Linked DNA regions of Mus musculus: region 1 is reported to be linked to region 2. Evidence: microRNA targets listed by miRTarBase, many of them from high-throughput screens and not tested one by one. Region 2 holds a microRNA gene; the other region holds the end of a gene's coding sequence.
Evidence for each region. The annotated mature microRNA mmu-miR-3061-5p reads CAGUGGGCCGUGAAAGGUAGCC and lies in region 2 at 2,630-2,651, shown strand. An mRNA with a match to its seed (bases 2 to 7 or 8) in the 3' UTR can be bound and repressed. Matches are read on the target gene's strand: a 7mer-m8 pairs with bases 2 to 8, a 7mer-A1 pairs with bases 2 to 7 and ends in A, and an 8mer does both.

Region 1 (4,435 bases), not on the chromosome of region 2:
CCACATGCAGCCAGGAGGTGGCTCTGATTTCACACTGGGCAGAGCTTGAGCATAGGAGACATCAAAGCTCTCTTACACAGTGAAACACTTCCTCCACAAGACCAAACCTTGTAATAGTGCCACTCCTTATGGCCAAGCATTGAAACACATGAGTCTATAGGGGCCAAATCTATTCAAACCACCACAAAAGCCAGTCAGGCAACATAGAAATCATGAAAAAAAATTAAAAATAATAAAGGTTGCTGGAGAGGTTAAGAACACTTACTGCTCTTGCAAAGGACTCAATTTCTGTTCCTAGTACCCAGGTCTGGCAGCTCACAACCACCTGTAACTCTAGCTCCAGGGGATCCATGCCTCTGGCTTCAGTGGGCACAGCACTCACAAACCCATGAGCACACACTCGGTTTAAAATAATAAAAGTAAAAAAAGCTTTTTTTTTTTTGATATAGGGTTTCTCTACATAGCCGTGCTGTGGTAGAACCATGTATACCAGGCTGGCCTCAAACTCAGAGATGCACCTGCCTCAGCCTTCATGTCCCCCAATACTAAAGGTTAAAATAGAATATCTTAAAATAATAAAAATACATAATAAAAAGAGTGTAGTAAAAAAGATCTCTGGGGTGTGTCTTTGAAAGAAATATTACGATGGTGGTCATCCCCACCACCCCTTTTTTGAGACCTTATTTCAAAACAACAAAACAAAAAACAAAACCACAACCGGGCTGGCAAGAAGTGGATAAGCATGCACGCCCCACAAACCTGACAACCTGAATTTGATGTCTGGAATTCATGATAGGAGGAGAGTTATCCTCTGACCTCCACACACGTGCCACAGTACATGCATGCATGAACAAGTGCATGTGTGTGTGTGTGTGTGTGTGCACGCGTTTGAATAGGAACCCCTGCCACCCCCAGACTCCTGTTTGAATGCTTGACTATGGGGAGTGGCACTATTAGGAGGTGTCGCCTTGGAGAAAGTGTGTCCCTGTGGGGGCAGTCTCCTATGATCAAGCTATGCCCAGTGTGGCACAATCTCCTGCTGTTGCCTTTGGATTAAGATGTAGACCGCTCTGCTCCTTCCCCAGCAACATGCCTGCCTGCATGCCATGCTTCCCACCATGATGGTAGTTTTTCCTTTAGAGTTGCCTTGGTCATGGTGTCTCTTCACAACAATAAAACCTTAAGCTGGTAGTGCATGTTCATTATCTCAGAACTGGGGAAGACGGGTGTGTGTAGGGAGAGGTCTAAGAACTTTTGTGGAGGTCAGAGAACAACTTTCAGGAGTTGGTTCTCTTCTTCCAACATTTGGAACCTGGAGTTTGAACACGTTCCTCAGGTTTGGCAGCAAGTGTGTACCTACTGAACCATTTCATTGGCCATGCCAAGAGGACTATTCAATGAAATCAATCAAGTTGATCCTAAAGTTCTTATGTAATGAGGAAATCTGAGATAGCCTCAGGACGATGGAGTCAGGGAACTATGAGGTAGCAAGTGTACTGTAATATGTAGTGTAAATACAAAGACCCACAGGGCAGATTTGGAATACTAAAAGATCCTTATTGTAGAAATGTTTTTAGACAGTCTTGTGTAGTCCAGATGTGGGAATGTCTTGATCCTCTCTCTTTACCTTCCCAAGTAGGATTACAGATAGGTGCCACAACTGGTTAGGATTATTTTGGGGGGGTGGGGTTGGGGTGGGGCATAATCTCTCTATGTAGCATTGGCTGTCCTAAAACTATGTAGAGCAGGCTGGCCTCAAATTCAAGAGGTCACCCTGCCTCTGCCTCCACAGTGCTTCGCCTGCTTTTTGTTTTTGAACAGGAACTCACTCTACAGCTCTGGCTGACCTAGAACTCAAGAGCCCTGCCTGCCTTTGCCTCCCAAGTGCTGGGGTTGGGATTAGAGGAGCGCACTAACTGTACCTGTCTGCATCTAAAAAAGGTAAAAGGTGTATCAATGAGAAAAGAACGAGCCCTTTAATGAGTGAGTTAGGGGCAAGTGGCTATTTCTCTAGTTAAAGTTAGTTCTCTATTTCCCATAAATGACAGCAAAAAGCTGTAGATCTAGCTTGTTAAGAACACCAGTCTAGAGTTAGAGGCCAGCCTGGTCTACAGAGTGAGTTCCAGGACAGCCAGGGCTACACAGAGAAACCCTGTCTCAAAAAACCAAACCAAACCAAAAGAACACCAGTCTACCATGCCAAGTGCTCAAGGCTCAGTACTAAACAAAAACAAAAAAGAACAGAAAAACCCTGTCTCGAAAAACAAAAACAAAAAAAAAAAACTCTTCATAAAAAAAATTCAGAGAAGTTAAAGATAGGTTCATCTTTAACCCATCTAGTTTATTTTTCCATGTATATACATCTGTATTTTATACATGTGTATACCCAAGTATACATTTACTATCACAAAAAGCAAACATGACGGACATAAATGAAAGCCAGAGAGGGTATGATCATAAGATTTGTTCAAAAATAAGAGATTCTATATAGCATATGAAGCTAATACATGCCTCCACACTCAACCAACTACCCACAACAGAAAAACAAAATCCCTCAGAAAGGCTCCAAAGTAGAAGTTCCATTAGTACAAGTGCACACGGAAAACACACACACACACACACACACACACACACACACACACACATTAGGAGTGGGCAACAGGGTTGAAGAGTTCCACTGTGGGATGGAGCAAATGACCAGCAGGGGCAATACTGAGCTGAGAGGTCAATTTCAATGGTATTCAGCAGGGGCTGGGTTAATGCTAGCAGTGTATAGCCAGAAGCAAAAGCCTTCCAACAAGCGAGGACAGACACAGTTCACAGAAGCTCGAAGTTTAGTGAGTACCTGGGCTACTGAAGGATCTGTGAACTAAGGCAATGAGAGTGAGTAAATGAATGGAGGCAGTCATGAGCAGAGGTCTGAGTTGCCACGATCAGCCTTTTGATGCTGAGGTACAAGGGGTAAGGGCGTTGCAATAGCCTCTAATAAAAGGTTAGGAGCCCCACAGGTTCATGCCTGTGGGCAGGACAGCCATTGAGTTGGTCAGCCTAGGCTATACAGTGATTCCCAAGCAAACCTACGTTACAGACCATCTCAAGATTACAGGAAATTTATACCCTGAGGAAATTGGAAAAATTAAAAAAACATGAGACGGTAAGGAGGTTATCCTGACCACAGACACATTCTGGAAATGACAGGTGCCTAAGGTGAAGAGAGACAGGGTGCATGGGTGTTGTTTGTATGGCAGCAGGTAGTATGCACTGTTGCAATAAGGGACAACAAGGCACCAAGAGGTTTGTCCTCAGCTGTGCTTAAGAGGCAAGTGAGTACTAGGTCCTAGGCAACAAGCTTAACTATTGGAATCACGACTAAACGAAAGCAGGTATGAAGAAGACCCAGTAAGGCACAGTGTAGAGCGAGGCATAAAGTGTACAGAGAGGTACTGTGAACCAGACACATGCAGCAGAGTTAGGCCAAACCATTTCCTTTCCATTCTCCTCATACGTGACCAAGGCTTCCACCACCGAAGAGACTTCACCATGAGCTTCCCTCCACAGAGAGCCACTCAGACACCAGTGTAAGTCATCACCCACCAGGGGTTTAATTCTTTTAGGTCAGTTCAGAAAGGGGCCATCTTTGTCCTCATCCAAAGGAAAAGATCTGCAGGGCACCCTGGGGATGTCCAAGCCCAGAAAAGCCAAGGGGTAGTCCCTGAGCAAATAGAGAAGTGGGTCCTGGGGCTCAGGCTGCCTCCTCCTCCTCCTCCTCGTCTTCTTCACTCTCCTCCTCACTCTCATGATACTGTCTGTGATTGGTGTTGACAAAGAGGTCAGAATCATCTTCAGAACTTGACCCTTCTCCTGACAGCTGTGGCTCAGCAGGGAGTTCTGGTTGACTCTCTCTGTGGGAACAGGAGGAAAGAATAGGTGACATCTTCCGGGGAAACCAGATCTATTCATTTAGAGCCCCAAAACCAGGACCATCAACTATACAATCAGAATCTGACAGGTTTCTGAAAATCCAAGAGCCCCAAACCCTTATGTAGTGGCACATGCCTAGTATTTAGATGGCTAAAGCAGAAGATGGTTGAGTCTGAGGACAGTCTAGGCCACATGAGATCCTGACTCAAGAACAAACAGAAGCCAAAAAAAAAAAAATTCTGGGAGAGGCTTTTTCTAGAGAAACAGCAAATAGGGAAATCCAGTCAAAGAAACAGACTCAGGATTGCCTCCAGGCAGCCCTTCATCGGGTTCAGTGAGGAAGCAACCCTACTAGCACACTGACACCTAGCATGCTCACATTTCCTAACAGCTGATGTACCGACAGCTTCCTAATGCTGTGACCCTTTAACAGCTCTTCACGTGGTGACCCCAACCATAAAATTATTCCATTGCTCCTTTATAACTGTAATTTTGCTACTTTTATGAATAATAA
Region 2 (4,435 bases):
AAATGTTAATACTTTAACCTGATGTAAAATTAGTGAAAATGTGTGAGTTTAATAATTTCTTCAAAAAAATCAAATGATAGTTGGAAGGGAATCACTCAAATGAGAGAATTTTAATGGGCACTATAATGAGATTGCCATAATTTTTTAAGTCTTTTGATTAAGAGCAAAGAATTATCAAAAATGGGTGTTGTCAAGAAGTCTGGACAGGTGCTTAGCAGTCAATCTTGTAGCCCCCAGCTGCCTATAACTTCGACTCCAGAGGCCCTGATACTCTCTTCTGGTCTCCACGGCATCAGACACACATGTGGTGTACATGCCTGCAGGCAAACCACTCAAACAAAAAATAAAGATCAGTCTTTTTAAAAGACGTGTTAATGGCTACAAATGTAGTTCATTGGTAGAGCACTTGCCTAGCACATGTACTGTGCCCTGGGTTCCATCTCTAAAAGTTGTATATAATGACACATGTGTCACCCAGCATTGTGGAGGCAGATAGTGGATCTCGGTGCCTAAGAGTGAGTATTCAACAGGGAAGTGTACTTTGGATATGGTAAGGTGACTCAGCTGGTAAAGGCATAGTCACTTAGCAGCCACCCTGAAGACTCAAGCTCAGTCCATGGGATCTACGTGGTGGAAGGAGAAAACCAACTCCTGCAAGTTGTCCTCTGGCCTCCATGCACAAATGGTGATGTATGCACACACACAGATGTTTCAAAAAAGATAATTTAGGGGCTGGCGAGTGGAGCCAGAGTTAAGAACACACACTGCTCTTCAAGAGGACCCACATCCACCTCTGGTCTCCTTGGACATCAGTATTCATGTGCACATAAATTATTATTTTTTTATTAAAAGGTTGCTTTGAAACAATTTATAAAGCTTACTGTTGGGTTTGAGTACTTGAAGAAGATATGTATAATGGTTTTAGTAAAACAAAAACAATGTACTATCTAAGGTTTCCAGGTGATGTTTTGAGATTTGTACATTGTGTCAAGTCGGGCTATGTATGCCTCAAGCATTTATCATAATGGTCCTTGTAGCTATTTGAAATGAAACAAAAGTGTGGTGGTGTGGTTGCCACCTGCCTGTGTAATGGCACATCTGAGCCTCTTGAAATGTTCAGTGACCATTGGGAGACGGTTTGCCTTTCTTCATTACAAATGCACAGTGTCTCCCTTTCTTGACTTACTGTTTTGTTTATGTGTGTGGTGCTAACAGAGGCCTCTAGGTCCTCTGGAGCTTCAGAGTTGTGAGCTGCTGGTGTGAGTGCTTAAAGACCAAATCCAACCTCTGGAAGAGCCGCAGTTAATTCTGTGGTATTCAATCTTGATGCCCACATATTTTACTTTGAATTATTAGGAGCATAGTATGTCTAGGGTTAAGAACACTGCTGGGTGGGGCATGGTGACTCACATCTATGATATCAGCACTTGGGAGGCAGAGGCAGGTAAATGGATCTCTGAGTTCCAGGCCAATCCAGGATACATGGTGAAGCAGTCTTTTATCTTTTTGAGACGGAGTCTCACAATGTAGCTCTGGCTGTCCTGAAACAATATAGACCAGGCTGGCCTTGAACTTCCTTCTGCCTCCCAGTTGCTGGAATTAAAGGTATATATTACCGTGCCCAGCATAATCCTGTCTTAAAAGTAAATAACCATTGTAACTACAGCTGGATTTTGTGGTACTGGTGGTATCTTCTGGGGTAACTGGCTTTTACTGTGTTCCTGGAAACAGCCAATTTTTTGTTTGTTTGTTTTTTGAGACAGGGTTTCTCTGTATAGCCCTGGCTGTCCTGGAGCTCACTTTGTAGACCAGGCTGGCCTCAAACTCAGAAATCCGCCTGTCTCTGCCTCCCGAGTGCTGGGATTGAAGGCGTGCACCACCACACCCAGCGTAACAGCCAATAATTTATAGGCTTAATTTTGAAGTGGATTTTATTCTCCTGACCTAAACCTTTTTTTTTTTCCCTATAATCTCATAATTCTTTGACTGCTTTTACATTTTATAGACTTAAATCTTTTGGGTTAATTTTTCCACAATTGTGTCTATGTTAAAAATAACCTCTGCAAGGTTGTAAATGTGTTTGACCATGCCCCTTGCCAGTCTCTATATGGTAGAACTGTAAAGATACCGTGTCATTGTGACATTTTCATACGTGTGTGTGGTATACTGTGATGCATCACCATTTTTCTCATTTCCATTCTGTACCTTGATTGTATGGATTGCTTTTGTTTTGAGACAGGATCATCTTTTGTAGCTTGGCTGATCTCTGTTCAAATCAGCCAAGCTACATAATGAGAGAAAACAAAACTTGAGAAAGAGAAAACTTGCCTCTGTCCAAGTGCTGGGATTAAAGGTGTGGGCCACCACCGTCCAGCAATCTTACTTGACAGAGTAGAACTTTTAAAGGGTTCGTTTTGCTTTCTTTCTTATTTCTGTCTTCTGGTTGAGCTTTACACGCCTTTGGGGTATATAGGTCAGTCACATGTTGGAGACTGTTCAAGGTGCAACCTTTTTAGGACGTACCTCGAAGTTGTCATGAAGTGTTGGGTTACGTTGAGGGATCTTGTACCTAGATCCCTCTTTGCTGCTTCAATGATGAGTGTACCTTGATATATTGTGTACTGTGGGGCAGTGGGCCGTGAAAGGTAGCCTGGTGGTCCCCTTTGAGCTAAGGCTACCTTTGATAGTCCACTGCCCCACGGTGCATGCATTGGTGTTTTTCGGTAGGTCTCCCTGTCCTGGAGTTTCTGTTGTGGCTATAGGATGGATGCCAAGCAGTGGGTCTTGAGCCCCATGCCCCTTTCTACTTTCTAGCCATTCCCACTTGGATCCCAGTCATTGGGTTGGGATGTTTATGTCTTTTAGTCTTTAAAAATGCTTGTCATTGTGGTGTAGTAGTGTATATGTTTTATGTAACTGTCAATAGATGCCTGACAGGAGCATCTTAGGGGAGGAGAGGTTCATTTTGGCCCAGTTTCAGGGTTATGGTCTGCCAGAGTGAGAAAGGAACAGAGGTGAGGGCTGTTTTGGCAGCAGGAGGAGTTAATTACCAAGTAATGGCTTGGGAGGAAGGAGGAGCAGAGAGAGATAGGAAGCAAAGAAGATATAAGCATCAAAGGCCTGACCCTGTGATTCAACTGCCAGCTGCCATGTCTCACTGCCTCTCAAAACACCAGTTAGGACCACCTATTGAGCCATGGACGTGGGGATAACGTCCATATGGGTGGTGGTAAGTACCATAAGGCGAGGACTGGGAACATGGCTAAGTGGCAGAGCTGCTCCTAGCATACCAAAAGGTGTCACAGGAAGATGGAAACCACCAAGATAACCTCAAAAACAAGCAGAGGAAGTGAAAAGCATCCACCATGAGACCACCAGAGACAACAGGAATGGTGGGAGCAGAAGGAAGATGGCCAGAGAGCTACAAGTGAAGATGAGAGATGGAAAGCAAAAATAAATAGAATATTCAGAGTGAAAAGAGAAATGAATTTAAGACAGCCAGTCGGAAAGGGGGTGGGGGGCATATCCTAGTGGGTTGTACTCCGGTATGAAATTCTTAGAACAATGTGCTGCAGGCAGTACTCCAGTTACTGACCAGCGTGCTACATTCCTATACTGTACTCAATAAACTGTAAACAAATATACCACCTCCTGATGTGTCGCACAGTCCCTTCTGTGGTGGTCTAACACGGGTGAGTTAACTCTTGCCAGTCTTAACGATCCCTCCTTATCCTTTGGGCTGCTGGCAAGAGTAAAAGCTAGGTAACGTTCACCCTGCTGTTGTAGCCATTTATTTGATCAGTACAAGTGGTGTAACCAGGGCTGTCCCTGTTCTCAGAGTACTGAAGTTCCTTGTGACAGGTGCCCTTAGAGAAGTGCATGTTGGGAAGGGAGATAAAGGACCAAGGGTATCATAGTAGGGCCTTGTGCTTCCATTACCCACATCTGTAGGTGGTTTTTCAAATTATCAGTGTGTCGGTGGGTTTGTTTGTGCACAGGAGTGTAGTGGCCACAGAGGTCAGAAATGGGGGGGGGGCAGAGGGGGTTCAAGACAGGGTTTCTCAGTTCCTGGCTGTCCTTGAACTCAGAAATCCCCCTGCCTCTGCCTCCCAAGTGCTGGGAATAAAGGTGCGCGCCACCACTGCCTGGCTCAGAAATAGGTGTTTTATCTCCTAGAGTCAGGCTGGAGAGATGGCTCTGGTTAAGAGGACTGTTTCCTCTTCCAGAGGTCCTGAGTTCAGTTCCCAGGAATCACAGCCACATGGTGGCTCACAACCATCTATAATGGGACCTGATATCCTCTTCTGTATGTCTGAAGACAGCTACATTGTAGTCATACATGAGATAATTTTTTTTAAGTGGGTTGAGCTGCTATGTGGGTGATGAGCCAAATTCAGCTCCTCTACAAGAGCAGCAGTTACTCTTAACTGCTCAG

Region 1: miRTarBase lists Eif1ad as a target of mmu-miR-3061-5p. Seed matches in the 3' UTR shown: 7mer-m8 at 2,651-2,657.

What each region holds. Positions count from the first base shown.
Region 1 is chr19:5,369,393-5,373,827 of GRCm38, reverse strand. It overlaps Eif1ad (eukaryotic translation initiation factor 1A domain containing), which reads right to left. Exons shown (of 6, transcript NM_027236.2): 6 at 2,317-3,902. The coding sequence ends at 3,743. Among named protein-coding and RNA genes, the nearest start is that of Banf1, 4.7 kb to the right of the region's middle.
Region 2 is chr11:52,124,130-52,128,564 of GRCm38, forward strand. Mir3061 (microRNA 3061) reads left to right here and starts at 2,617; the gene lies at 2,617-2,707.